Struthio camelus: one gene and its partner. The protein of the gene in region 1 binds, or shares a complex with, the protein of each later gene. Links are inferred from orthologs where the notes say so. Each region holds a gene or a part of one and is shown on either strand. Other genes may lie near its edges.

The links. The genes of interacting proteins can lie anywhere in the genome.
Region 2: the proteins of FBXL5 (region 1) and IREB2 are in contact, whole or in part, in a cryo-EM structure (PDB 6VCD), measured with the Homo sapiens proteins. The link is inferred for Struthio camelus from reciprocal best matches to the Homo sapiens genes FBXL5 and IREB2. Residues at the interface, in NP_036293.1 of Homo sapiens: Asp656, Glu657, Tyr661, Cys662, Asp663, Asn664, Ile665, His669, Ala670, Asp671, Thr672, Ala673, Ser674, Gly675, Cys676, Gln677, Asn678, Leu679, Gln680, Cys687, Arg688, Ser689, Gly690, Glu691; in NP_004127.2 of Homo sapiens: Asp89, Phe90, Ser129, Asn217, Val220, Glu221, Arg224, Arg228, Ala758, Gly759, Ser760, Arg763, Asn764, Thr777, Pro778, Arg779, Asn782, Ser783, Tyr784, Gly785, Ala786, Arg788.

What each region holds. Positions count from the first base shown.
Region 1 is NC_090945.1:70,559,906-70,567,026, forward strand, and holds the start of FBXL5 (F-box/LRR-repeat protein 5), read left to right. Parts: upstream 1-4,063; 5' UTR 4,064-4,136; coding exon 4,137-4,268; intron 4,269-7,121. Other genes in the region: ADP-ribosyl cyclase/cyclic ADP-ribose hydrolase 2, read right to left, coding at 1-53.
Region 2 is NC_090953.1:21,675,841-21,683,112, reverse strand, and holds the start of IREB2 (iron-responsive element-binding protein 2), read right to left. Parts: upstream 3,004-7,272; 5' UTR 2,909-3,003; coding exon 2,890-2,908; intron 2,505-2,889; exon of another isoform or gene 2,344-2,504; intron 2,033-2,343; coding exon 1,943-2,032; intron 1-1,942. UniProt on the Homo sapiens protein: RNA-binding protein that binds to iron-responsive elements (IRES), which are stem-loop structures found in the 5'-UTR of ferritin, and delta aminolevulinic acid synthase mRNAs, and in the 3'-UTR of transferrin receptor mRNA.

The sequences.
Region 1 (7,121 bases):
CTTTTCATAAACAGAAGAGAGACAAGTAAGAGAGAGAAAAAAAAGCTGCTCATTATGAATTCTTGACAACCCAAGTTCTTTAAAAAAAAGATTAAAAAGGAGAGTTAAATGATACAATTTAAATGGAAAACAGAAGGTTTAACAGGTAATATTTTCAAAACAGGCAGTAGCTCTGTACGCAAATGACAAAGTTACACGGAAATCTAAACTTTGCTGGAGAATGTAATCTAACTGTTTCCTGGAATGATTGCAGCACAAGGATACATCACTTCCTTAAATTTAAATGTTCTCAGCTTCGGAAAAACGTAGTTTTTAGATCAAGAGGTTGCCACCTGGTGATAACTAGACGGAATTACAACATATTTTTGTAAAAGAAAAAACACTTCCCATTTCAGTGTTATTTACAATGCCTTAGGCTTGCTGAATACTCATTGCAATCTTAAATGCTAAAACATCGCAAGTGCTTGCAAGCAACAAGCTTAAAAGTACTTTCATTTAATGTTAAAAAAGTGCTACCCTTTTTGCATATATTTCTCTAAAGGCTGAAAAAAAGGCTGAAATACATATCAAGAAGAAAATGAAATATGCAAGTCCGCATTCATAAAAAGCCAGATTTTCACGTTATCTTGCATCGCAGATAGGGGTAACAGTGGTCAGCTCTTCTATTTTTCCCCTGGATACTGGCAGCAAAATTTTGGCGTGATGACAAGTTTTAAACTATTCTTAGCGAACAAAAGTGTCTTGCAAACAGGAATAAATCATAATGAGAACCAAAAGGATTAAGGTATGCTTCCTGTGCATTGAAGAAATCTCTTCAACTTCCACTTATGTTTATTTTCCCTCCAGCTTCTCCTCTCCAAGTACTTTGTTAGATCATCAAATGGGATAAATTAATCCAGCCGTCACTGTAAATCTTCTGTTGTATACACCGCTGGGAAAAACAACCAAACTACTTTTTTTCCACCCCTTTTTAAAAAACTTCTCTTTTCAACCGGAGCGTAATTTGTCTATGGATTCACATTTCTGAGAAATGTGCTGATTCCTTTTATTGTATTAAATAGTCCTCATGCCTCAGTGAATACATATATCTTTATTAATTATGTCTTTATTTATATAGTGTTATGCTAACCTGGGTGCACCAGTACTCAGCTGATGGATTTTGCTGTAGGCAGAATCTTGCTAATTGTTGAGTAAATTGCTGATGATGGATTTCTCCTATAAATGTGATATAACAAGTTGATTTGTTATCTGCAGCATCTTTTTAGGAGTGCCAGAGTTATCCTGCAACAGATGTGCCATGTTGTGTTTGATATGCTTGAGACACAGCAAATGCTGTACTTCATTTCAGTTACTTTTGTGATGCATTTTCTCCATATTTCCTTTTTGACATCTGTGAAACATGATGGCCATGTTGATCAGGGACAAGGATATTAACCAAATGGTTTCAAGTTCACTGCTTCAGGTTTGGGCTTAGAGGCTTTCAATCATCCATGGAACTCAATGAATGATTTTTGTTATTAACTTCGCTGCAGTCAAGTCTTGCCCAGTCATTTCACGACTAAGAAAAACCAGAGGCATCACTCATGTGATGCTCTGTACAGAATAAGACAGAAATTTTCACTGATTTTTGCATCAAGACTGAAACGTCTAAGTAAAGTATACAGTGCATTAGAATGACATAAAAATGAATAGAGTTTTGGAACGGCTTTTCTGCAAGGACACACCAAGTTCGGACTCGCCAACTCTGGAAAGATGTGGATGCTGCTCAGTGGTATTCTGCAAGAAGACATGACATGTCATGCCATTCCAGAGGGAATGGAAATATATCCAACGGTTGCTGGGATCCCCATCTCAAGCTCTATTGACTTTCCTTTCCTCAATGGCCACTTTGAGAAACACAGCATTAGGCTACGTGGGTCTCTGATCTGACTCAGTACAGCCATCTTTAATGCACGTTCTTACGCAAATTTGATTAAAATATTTTGTGTGATGGCTAATCTAACACATTGCCAGGGAAATTGTTCCAACAGTTGGATAGCCTTATGGTTTAAGCATCAAGTCTGAACTTGTCTACCTTTAGCTTCCCATCACTGGATCTCATGATGTCCTTTTCTGTTATGTTACTCAAAACAGAAATAGTCTCTCCATGTAAATCCTTATAGACCATGATCAAGTCGCCTCTTAAACTTGTCCATGAAAAATTCAATTTTTTAATCTCATTATTAGGCACTTACTTTAGTAGTACTGTACTTCAGTGCCATGATTGGCTGTCCAGCTTGCCTCCCAAGCTTTGGCACTTCATGCTGGATGTAGATCACTGCCCCTAGCTGTCTGTCCACCTCTCCTACAAGAGGTTACTGCCCATGAAGCAGAGTCAGCAAGGCCAGCAGCATATCTGCGCTGGAGATACTCCGATTCACAAACTGCATATTAACTCAAAATCAAATTTAGCATATGTTTATATTCTGAACCCTTGGAGGATGAGGATCGGACATGTTCTCTCTTGTTATTTCTACCAGATGAGAGCGGCAACTTCCAGCAGAAGAAGGGAGTAACAGCTGGGAGCATTAATCTCCCGTATTACTCAGGCATGGCCTGCTGGCAGACTGACCCCAGTTCTGTAGGATTTCAAGCTTTACGGTTGGAAATATGACCTTAAATTTGCCTGCATTAACAAGCTCTTCTGTAAGCAACAGACTTAACCAAACACTGTTTCTTGAGGGCTTGCATCTCTGTCATAAATCTCAATCGTAAATCCTACTTAGAGCACTAACCCTCCCTCTCCCACTTGTCTGCTGCTATACTCACTGTGCAAGAAATGGTGGGTACTGGGGGTAGTGCAGAGCCAGAATTGTCTTTACTGGTCAAGCAGTAACTGGTCAAGCAGTAAATGCAACCATGTACTGGCTGGCCGGCTGTATCATACCTGTGTTTTGCCTTCCTTTCCCTCTCTCATACATAGCTGCTGATTTTCCCCAAAGTTGCACAAATCTAAATTCCTTTAAGATTTGTAAACCTTTGTCAAATATGATTAAGTAGGCCAACAGGTTCAGAAGTTTCTGGGAGGAAGAAAGGGTGGATGGAAAAGGAAGCACCCAACACTGCAATTGCTCAAGCCTCATTTCCGTCAGTAGAAAGATTGCTCAGTACTAGACGATCTAGATAACTTTGATCATGTGATGTGTTCTTCTTAAATTATCTACTAATTTTACTAGCAATAATTTCATATTTTATTCCAAAGCATTACTATGTTGAGGAACACTTACTAAAAATAAGTACTGCAGGCCTTTGCTCAAAATATTTCCATCTGTTTATAACTAATTTTTTCACATTTGTTAACTCACCAGCTTTTAATCTGTTTAAGATATACAACTTGGATTTTGTCTAGTTTTCAGTCAGGAACTTCTGCATTTACTGTATCTTTGGCAATTTGGGGGCGGGGTGATTTATAACACGTGGACATGTGGGTGGACAGCGTTACAGCTTCATTTTGCTAACCTAACCTGTAATCTCAAGGCCGCTAAGGATTCCTGGATCTTTCGAGGCGTTTTAGGGGGGGACGAACCCCGAAGGGCAGCGCCCCTGCCCCTTCCCCCCTCGGACGTTAAACACAGGCAGCGCTTGGCGGGTACGGCAGCCCGGGCCCCCCGGCCGGGGCACTCTGCTCAGCACCGCGCGGGGTTTTGGGGGGCCGGGCCCTCGGGCCCCCCGGCCACACGCAGCCGCGGCGGCGGCGGAGCCGGGCCGCTTGCGCCACGGCAGGGGACAGGCCCGGGCCCGTCGGCCTGCAGCCTCCGGGCGCCGCCCCGACGCGCTCCCTCGCTCCTGCCTGCCGGGGGCCTCTGGCATCCAGCCTGCTGCCGCCCACGCTCGGCGGGAAGGAGCTGGGCGCGGCAGGAGGCCGATGGCGGAGGCGCGTTGTTGCTGACACAGCGCCGCGGCCCCGGCGGGAGGCGGGCGAGGGCAGCGGCCTCCCAGGGCGCCGCAGGGCTCGCCGAGCCTGGCATGCGCATGCGCGCGGCGGGGCGCCGGGCGGCGCCGCCTGAGCCGCGGCGGCGCTCGCGGGGCGGCCCCTGTCACGTGGCGCCCGGGCCGGCGGGGCGCCCTCCGCGCCGTGCCGCGCATGCGCAGCGCGCATGTTGCCGCCGCCAGTGCCGGCCGCGGCGAGGCTCTATGGGGAGAACATGGCTCCCTTCCCCGAGGAGGTGGACGTCTTCTCGGCGCCCCACTGGCGGATGAAGCAGCTCGTGGGGCTCTACTGCGACAAGGTAGCGGGCCGCGCCGCGGCCGCCCCTGCCCCGCTCCGCTCGCTCCGCCGGAGGGGCGAGGGAGGATTTCGCGTAGTGCGCAGCTGTCAGCGCGCCCCGCGCCGGCCCCGGCCCCGGCTCCCCCCGCCGCTGCCGCGGGGCGCCCCGGCCGCCGGAGCCGCCTTCCCCGCGCCCCGCTCTGCCCGGTCCCGGCCCCGGCCGCGTTTGGTGGCCTTGCCCGTGAGGCAGCAGCGCTCCCTCCGCCGCGGGACCGCGCCTGCCGCGCTCCTTCCCCCGCCGGGCTGGGAGCGGGGCCGGCGCCCACCCCGGCTGCCCCTTCCTGGAGGTGGGGCCGCGGCCTGCGCAGCCCCGGGCGGGGCGGACCCCCGAGGCGGCCGGGGGTGCCGGGGTGGAGCGGGGGGCAGGGGGTAAACAAACCTCTGGTGGTGTTTTGGTGTGTTTTGGTGCTTTTTTTTTTTTTTTTCCTGTAAATTGCCCGGTGCCCGGCAGCACCGCCGGACACCGGTCGTGGGCAGTGCGCTCGTTAACGGTCTGTGAGGAGCAACGTTTGTTTGCGTTTTAAAGTACAGCGTTTAATTGGTGAGCACCTGAAGGGTACGCTAAGGAAGTTTTGGTTTTTAAATAATGTTGCAAAAATAACTTCCGTTCTTGCATCAGGGCAGTGAGTAATCCGAGCTGGTGTGTCACCTGAAAGGCAAACTTCACTGCAGCACGTTCAAGCAGAACTGAAGGGTTTCAGGGAAACACTTGAAAGCCAGCACGCAAACTGAAAGTAGTGCCTCCCCCCTCTGTGGGCATAAACGGCTGTGGGGGAACCGGAGTCGTTTTAGCAAGCGTCAAAAAGGAGTGTGAAGTTGCATGAGAGACAGCGTAACAGCTGCCAACAGGCTGGGGGAGTCCCCCCTTCCCCTATTTCCCCAATGTCTGGTGCTCACCGGACCCCTTTTTGTGAGCCTGTTTGAATTGGGCAGAGAAAATCAGGGGAAGAAAAAGATGAGAGTGTTACCATTTAGCAATGTCTGACCAGATCTAGCTGTCTTCTGTAATTTCACTGTAAGTCGTTTTTGCAAGTGTGTTTGCAGTTAAGTTAATTTTGCAATCTGTGGCTGCATGAAAACTTGTGAAGCCTTAAGAGAGGGGATATTGCAGAAAGGGAAAGAAACACCTGAAAAAGGCTGCGACTTTTTTTTCCCACTAGCAGCCCTGCTAGCATTGTTAACAGTAGTTGAGCAAGTTTTCAACCTCCAGATCTTCTAGTCATTTACTACTGTTTTTGGTTTTTTGTTCCCGAGATGCATTTCTGTCACTCTTATTGAACCTCCCACAAAGTTTTGACCGAATTTATTAGATTGGCAAAATTTGATTAAAACCATCCAGTCTGCTATGAGCATACGCTCTCTTTTTTTTTTTTTTTCAATTGTAGACAAGAGCGTGCTAACTTTCTTTTCTTCTTTTAAACAAGCATAACCACAAATGAATCCTTGATGGGTTTTTTATGTAAGCAGGGAGGATTTATAGTACTTAATCCTACATTCTCTGGTCCTGTTACAGAGTTTGGAGTCTGTGCCTGGCTCGTGACCTTTGTATTTCAGTCACGATAGCTTTATATCAGAAAAATTTCTCTGAACTTTCCTTCTTGTGTGATTAAGATGTTGTAGTTAGCTCAGACTGTATTTCTGCTTACATGGCAATTATAATCCGCGAAGCTATGCTCTTTATCAATTTAGTGAATCCTTGAGGAGTCTTTAATTTCAACTACATGTGTACCTGCTGCTGCTAATGTTCCCTGTACGTTGTAATATAGTTGCCATCTGTTAGTGCCTCCTCTTACTAAATTCCACCAATTGTTAGTAGGGGTGAAACTGGTGCATCTATGCTTTTCAGGGAATCGGTTATAAGGTTAGGATGAGTAAAAGGCAGAGGTACTCCAGTGATGCTTTAGGACTGAGATAAAGTTTAGATTGTTCTTCTAAGACCTCATATGAGACAGAAGAGTAAATCGGAAGTGTAAGATGTTTGACTGCTAGCAACAATTTAAAAGTTCAGTAACTGTCTTGATGCAAAGATCTTACCATACGTTTTCTGTGTACTTGAATGGCATTTTAGGACCGTTGTATGCAGTGCCTTTACTTACATAATAGGAATAACTATTCCTATAGACGGTCTTTGGAGTAAAATTTTTTTTCCTAATGTCTAACATCATCCATACTATTTATTAATAGAGCTGATTTCTTTTTCCTATCTCCAGTGAATGGCTGTTTGTTTTCAGGAGAGTCTTCTGCTTATTTGCAAATTGTAGCCCTGTCCTCCATCTTGATCTGCTTTTTGGACTAAGTGAACAGATTCATTCAACTTTACCACATGGGTGATGCGTTCTGTGCCTCTTGGTGTTCTTGTTGCTTTTGTCAGGACTGCTAAACTGCAGTTTTGTGACAATCTAAGCCATCTAACTGCTGCTGTCATGATTATTGGCCCTTCCTTCCTCCCATCAGCATGTTAAGTGACTCACAAAGGCTGTAATTGGCAGAGAACTTTTTTTACTTTTTTTTTTTTTTTTAGGTGGTAGTTTTTCTGCTCACCAGCAAGCACTAGTCAGATGAGTACTGAAGCCAATGGGAGCTGGAGGGTGGGACTGTGACAGCCCGGCAACTAGGTTGGCTTCAGCTGCTGTGAAACCTCAGCCTAATTTTGTCTAGATTTTCTTGAAATCCGTTGTGCAAAACATGACACTGTTGATGTTGAATAGAGCTTCTTTTTTTTCCCCCCCTGTTTATTTATTTATTTTTAACAGCACCGTATTCACTTTATGCCTCACTGTAACCCTATGCTTATCTGTGAATTGTTTCTGGCAGC
Region 2 (7,272 bases), on another chromosome or scaffold:
GTTGAGGGAACTGGGTGTGCTGATCCAAAGCTGAGTGGGGGGATGAACTCTAGCCTTCCTCAGGCTAACAAATCTGCAGAGAAGGTGGAGCCAGACTGTTTTCAGAAGTGCACAGAGAAAGGACAGAAAAGAGCTGCCAGTTGCAAGGGACATCGCAGTAGGCACAAGAAAGACTGCTCACCACGCAGATGCTTACGCACTGCAGCAGGGGCCAGAGGCCCTGTGGAATCTCCCTCCTTGGAGCTTTGCAGAGCTCGAAGGGGAAAGGCCTCACTAGCCTTGAGGGCAGCCTGGACCGGACCTCTGGATGTCCCTTCCACCACCCTAAATCACCCTGAGGTTCTGAGGTCCTTCTAGCTACCATTTTCCTCATCACTGAAAATGACTGTAAACACTAGAAAAACCAGACTCGCCCTAGCAAATTGGTAAATAAGTCAATTGACATTTATATTAGAAATCTGACTATCTTAAACAGGCACTTATTGTCAGAGTACAGTCAGAAGCCCCAAGACAGCAGGCAAACAGGCAAGACCTCAAGTTAATGCTCTAGCAACACATGCTCTGAGCAATTCCAGATGCTGGATTTCTTACCAACGTTATCCAATACTATGCTCCAATTTTATTTCATACTAGTATCTTGCTACTATGTGAACAATGAGGCTACCAACTTCTGTACAGAAGTTCCTGTCGGAAGAGACACCTAGTCTATTCTATTTTCATATTCCTGCTTTGAAGATCTTTAACAATTGCTGCTGCTGCCCGAAGCTTTACAGCACATCTAGACAGAAAACAACGTATTCTGTTTCAACTTCTACTACCATTCACAAGATCTCCAAAAGCCGCAGCAGAACTGACTGGTTTTGTTACTGCCACTCTGCTGCTTCTTCCTGTACAAAGCCACAAACAGAAGAGTTTTACCTCCAGCTTATGTTCTCATTCAAGTTATTAACAAGAAGCAGAAATCTGCAAGAACGCACAGCTGTTGCACAAAATCTGCAGCAGCCATTGCTCCACTAGAAAGGGCTCCCCTCTCTCTTCCCTTCAACAGGGAAGTAACTACTGCTGTCGAATACTGGTTTACAGCAAACACCCATCAGTAACTTTTTTGGTTAATAAATGCATCATGAACCTGTGAACACAGGAGAGTAATACAGACCTGACAAAACAGGATAACTGAAAAAAATTCCCAAATACCTTTAATATGCACCTTAGGGAGGTATTTTAGGAGTTTAATATGAAAACAAAGGGAGAGAATAACAAAAGTATGCTTTAGTTATCTACAAGAGGAAAGCATATTCTAAGTGACACTGATCTATAGCTATTCTCCATCCACATGCCTTCCCCTGCCTCAGTACATATTTACATTCATTTTTTAAAAGGCATCCAGACACAGAGGCCCAATCAGAATCTTTTTGGCACATATCACTTAGTGGCATATTAATGCTACACTGAGATTAAGCACTCTTCTGTGCAACACAAAAGCTCATCCTTCTGCAACAGCTGCAATAGAAGCTATGCTCCAGCACACAGTTATCTGCTATCTGAAGTTACTAAGAAGGTAAAACTTGGATACAAAGAAGTAGCATAAAGCTATATTAAAAACTATATTTATATTTAAAGTACCATTCAGCAGTTTTCTGTCAGTTCATTGTTTCCAAAAGAGATTACTCTGATTTGAAGCACTGCCTAAGACTCCAGTAACACCTGTCAATCTCCCCCTAACTGAAAAAAGTTACAAGCAATATTCTTTTCCTCCTCCACCCCCCAAACTGAAGTTGATATTATTCAACTTCATACAGCAATAACAGATGGAAAGTTATATACTTTCAGATACACCTATTAAAAATCCAGGTACTCATGTGCCCCCTAATATTGTACAGTAAGTAGCATACGTTTGCTAACGGTACTATGCTGATTACCAACTGTTAAGAACTTTTGTTACCATATTTGGTGCCTCCAAGCTTTGAGACATTGTAGAACTTCTTCTGTGGATAGTTTTCTAATGCTTCAATTATGGGCTGGTAAGGGATTCCTAGGGGAAAAAAAATAAATAAGTTATTGATACAACAGAACAGAAGGTTCAAGCACCGATAAGGGACTCATAAGACCAGATTTTAATTTCTGATTTTACCAAAAATAGTTTTCTCCTAGGACTACAAGTAAATCAAATATAGAAAGGCTTCTAAATGGATTAAGGCACCTGACCATACAGCTGTGCAACTCCAGTGAACTCCAAGAGCACAGCAGTAGACACACCTACTTGCACATTTAGAAGCCTAAATACAAATGTGACCTTTACTGTCTCACTGCGACACCTACGAAAGAGGATAAACGGTACCTTACCGGCTCAGATGAGGAACACAGGCCATAAGACAGTACAAAAATGAAGCATTAAGGGCCGGGGCAGCGACAGGCAAGCAAGAAACAAGAACAAGCCTCGCAAGAGGAGGCCAGGGTGACGACTGTCTCCAGCAGCCGAAGGCGCTTACAGGAAGGCCGCTGTCACCTCAGTACAGGCGCACGAGGCGGCCGCCGCCGGTCGCCGCCGCCGCCGGGCCCGCGCCGCCCCTTTGTCCGCCGCGGCGAGGGCCGCCGGCCATAACGGGCGGCCCCGGCGCGGCGGAACGAAGCGGGGCCGGCGGGGGCGGTAACGGGCCGGGGCCGAGGCCGAGGTCGCCCCGCTCCGCCCTCCCCCCCGCCGCGGGCGGCCCGGGGTGGTTGGGGGGGGGGGGGAGTCGCCGCCGCCGCCGCGCTCGGGCCGAGCCCGCTGCCCGCCGCCGGCCCCGCCGAGGGGCGGAGGCCAGGCCGAACGCCGCCGGGCCCCGCTAGGCCGGGCGGCGGCCCCGGAGCGCGAGCGCCGCGGCGGGAGGCGGCGGCGCCGCCACTGACCTGGCCTGGCAGGGTCCATCGCCGGCAACCATATTAGCTCCGCTGGGCAGGGGAGCGGGGGGCGCGGGCGGGGCCGCCGCCAGCTCTCGCGAGACCCGCGCCCTGCCCCTCCCCGCCCCGCCCCGCCAGGCGCCGCAGCTCGCGCGAGACGCAGATGGGAAGGCGCGTGCGCTCTCGCGAGACCCGGCGCGGGGAGGAGCGCGGGAGCAGGTGGGCGGAGCCGCGCTCTCGCGAGACCCGGGGGCTCGAGCCCTTGGGCCTCAGCGCGATCGGCGCCGCCTATTGGCCGGGGCCGCGGGGGGGGGGGGGGTGCGTGCGCCCCACGTGATGGGGAGGGGCGGGGCGAGGGGTGGTGCTAGGACCGTGGGGCCGGACTGGGGGCGGGGCAGGGCGGGGGGGCGGCCGTTAGCGGCGTTGCGGCGCGCGGGGCGGCCGTTACCGTCGTTACCGCGCGCGCTGTCGCCTCAGGCCCCCCCGCCGCCGCTGATCTGATGTTGGATTTGCTTCGGGAGGTTTCTCTTTCCTTTTCACGTTTTATTCTCTTTTCTTCCTTTCAAACTGTGGTTTCTTTTCCCAGCTAGAAGCTGGAAAAAGGTGGAAAAGGGAAAGGCTGGAAAAGGAAAAAGCCACCGAAAAGGTGGCCGTGACCCGCTGGCCCCTGGCTGCCCCCACTTCCCCTTGGACCTGCGCTGGCCCTCGCTTCCCTGAGCTGTGGCTCAATGACACGCTGATTGCAGAAGTTTTATTCAAAACTGCTGAGCACCCAGAATTGCAGCATCCTCTCGCCCTTTGGCTGCTCAGCGTCCAGGCGGCAACGCTGCCGGGCGCACCTCTGAGGGAGCGCAGGGGCGCGCGGCCAGCGGTGGGCAACCCGCCCGCGGCCTGCCCCCGACCCCTGTCCCTCGAGCAGGTCGGGGGCATAAAGCACGCTCAGGATGCCAAACGCTGTCCGCTCCCTTGAACGGTGTCGTTTATGGCTTCTGCCCTCGCTGGATGGCTGCTCACCACAATGCTCTAAGCAGCAGCGAGGGCCGGGGCCGAGCGCAGAGGGCGGCTCGCTGCGTGCTGCTCCGGCGGCCGTGGGGACATGCGCTGGCCCCCAGGGGCTTCCTGCAGCAGCTTCTGCTGTCCGGGCCTGGAGGTGCAGCCGTGAGTAGATGAAGGGCTGGCAGACAAGCGATGGCAGCATTGTCCCTCCACAAAATCAGATAAGGTGCATCTCCAGGGACGTCTGCACCGCCACTGACCCACTTGTTTTCTTTTTTGAAAGAAACCTCGAGTCTTGCAGGGCTGAACCTACAGGATACCGGTGGCAAAATGACTTCTGGTTATCTTCCGCTGTTGGCCGAAGGCTAACTTTGGTGGATCAGGTACACCCAAGGAAAGGGATTTTAGGGAGTATGGAATGTTTCTTGTACACATGCTAAATCCTTTATCGCCAAATGTTCATTTTTTCTGTGCCCTTCCTACATATAAGACAATTTTTGTAAAGCAAATCCGATATATATCTTTGTTTTTAATAGAATGTTTGGCCACTTAGCGTTTGGCTTTTTGAAACTGATTTATATTGGAAATTTTGTTTTGATTTGCTTAGTAGCAGCTGGTTATCCCACTGTTCTGCTTACTATTTGTTTTGCGATTCTTTTTGAATCTGAAAGGAACGTTAAAATCACAGACTCCTTTAAGGTGTTGTGTCACCATCTAAGAAACATGTTTTTGCTGTTTGCTGAATGCCTTCTCGGTTTCCCAGCTGGGGTCCAATGTCCTGAAAGAAGTCAAATTGAAGCAGTGGGCTTACCCAGAGGAAAAACAGGGATAGATATGGCTGCTTTGTAATTGGAGCTGACAGAAGCAGGCTAAACGCGAATGTCTTAGCGAGGAAGAGAATGCCAACAGAGGGAAGTAATTTGCACTCGCTCTGTAAAAGGCAGTCGCTACGCAGAGAGAATTTCTGTATTGTTCACCATGCTTCAGCCTTCAAACACAGAAAGCCGTCTTGTTATGGGAAAAGACGGGACTAAAGAATGCCCTCAGCTCTGTCTTCCAGAACAGTACGATCTAAAAGAGAGTACCCAATCTAATGCAAGACTGCTTTTCTAGTTGTCCCTTTCTTTTGTCTTCCCCTCTTTTCTATAAGGCTAGATGAAAGACAACAGCGGGAGCACATGGGGAGCCCCCACACCATTTCCATACATTCCTCTACAGGAGAAGCAGGTTGGCATAACAGTTTGAAGTAAAATGTCTCTTAATCTTGGCTACCCACAGACTTCTGTGTGACTGGTGTGTGTAGGGCTCCAATCCAGCAAATTCGACACAGTTCTCCTGTCTAGGGCAGTGAGAGATCATTCAAGGAGGAGAGTAAAGCTTAATTTTTGTACTTAGCTGTAGTAGATTTAAAAAATAACAAAGCAACTGAAGTTTTTGTCCACATGAGTGAATTTCGGAGATTAAGAACAAAGACTTGGGAAATGGCTGTAGAATATTTAAGAAATTAAGGTCAGTCCAATATAGCAATAGTCTAAGAGGCACAAGTGAATCTACAGAGATGGGTAGGATAAGTAATACCTGTTCACGGACTATGTCAATGGCGTAGCTTGAGGCAGCCGATTAAAAAGAACACAAAGCAGATTTGACATCGGCGTATTCTCAGCAACAAAATGAAAAAAAGAGTTTGTAAAATTTATGTTGGACAATCTGTAAGAAAAAAAAACAAGCAGTCACATTTCTCCATTCCTTGTGCCACTGCAGAAAAGCCACTGGTATTAGGTGCGCTGTAAATTAATTAAGAACATAAGTTCCTGATACATAGGCAGGTTGGGTATTTCAGTAAGAATATGACTGAATATTTTGTTTTGATCCTGCATGGTTTGAGACACAGTGCAAGCTTAGCTTGTACACATCTAATTCATGTGATTTCTTGTTGATTTTTGTAAAATAGCCTCAGTGCACCATGTAGTCTTTAAGCCTCACTTTTGACTGCATATTGTTTGTAATCACTGCACAAAATACCTAGTATCAAGATAAGTAGATTAATAAATGCCAGAGGGAAAAAACCGGGGAAGGAAGCGCATCTGGCTCTCTCGGGCTGCTAACACGAACTGTATGGCAGCTAGTCCGTGCTGCGTGAGCCAGCGCCACAAAAGATACTGAAAGGCAGTTCCTCACCCATGCTAAGGCTTCACTGAGAAATAACATTCCTTACATTTCTCATCCTCTCAGACTGATGTTTGAGTTGCTATCAGTGAATCGAGTAATAAATTGCCTTGATAATTTTTCCCTCAGGAAATCAAAACTTTTGTTTTAATCTCTTCCAAGAGCTGCCATTTACACAGACGTACACGGCCTGAAACCCCTCTAGAAGTCCTTCCCAAGCACTCAGCAGACTCTCAGTAAATCAGATAATGCTGTCTTATAAATATCTGGAGATAGCACTTGAACTGTTCTAAAGTTCAGACTGGGTACATGGGGAGGTTCAAGTATCGCAGAAACTACTTTTCAAACCTTCATTCTGGGCTCAGTGCATTTTAGTTTTCCTTCAGACAAAGGAAAGAGGCTCTGAGGTGTTTTAAGATGATTTTTAATTGTGAGGGAAGTGCCGGCATATGGAATCCTGCCCAAACTGCGCGTGGGAGAACAGTCTTGCTGGGAAGAGCTTATTAGTACCAGAGGAAGGCAAAATTCAGTACAGTAAACATGCTTACTTCCAAATACATTGTATAAAAAAAAAATAGATGGTGAACTTTTAATATTCTGAAAACAGGCATCTATTTTCAGGTTACAGGACTGTTGGTACTGCTCTGTTGTTAAGGAGTCTGAAAATTGCCTTTCCTAGTTAGCAGAGTCTAAGCGCATGCAGAGTTTTTCCCCAGAGATGTCAGGAGAAAGAAGGACCATTTTGTGCTGCTGGCAGAGTAATTGGAGTCTGACTTGCGAGCACGAGGTCTTCGCTTCAGGAAGTACAACGAGCAACTGGGGAACCTCAAGCTACACTCTGCAGCGCTCATGGCAGCCTGTGAAATATCAGCCTTAACAGCCATGGCAGTGACATCTGTTTTGGTTCAGGCTGTGGTTGTTACTGACATGCTTGTTTTAAATGGATGGCATCTGTTGCCTTCTTTCCTATGCACTGCTGAAAACTGCAGAGGGAGGCACAGTTCAGCTTTCTTACGTCGGGGGTTTTACAAGCCCAGACATTGTTGGCTGAACTGCCAGCCCTAAACCTCTGGGAACAAGCGTTTTCCCTCTCAGGAAGGTAGAGCTTACCTGCCCTCTGCTCACACGGGTCCTGGAAAGCCAGATCACTTCCTCTCCTCATTCACTGCAGGAGAACGTGCCATTTGGCCAGTACCACTACGTGCATTTCTCACACGCAGAGGGAAAAAA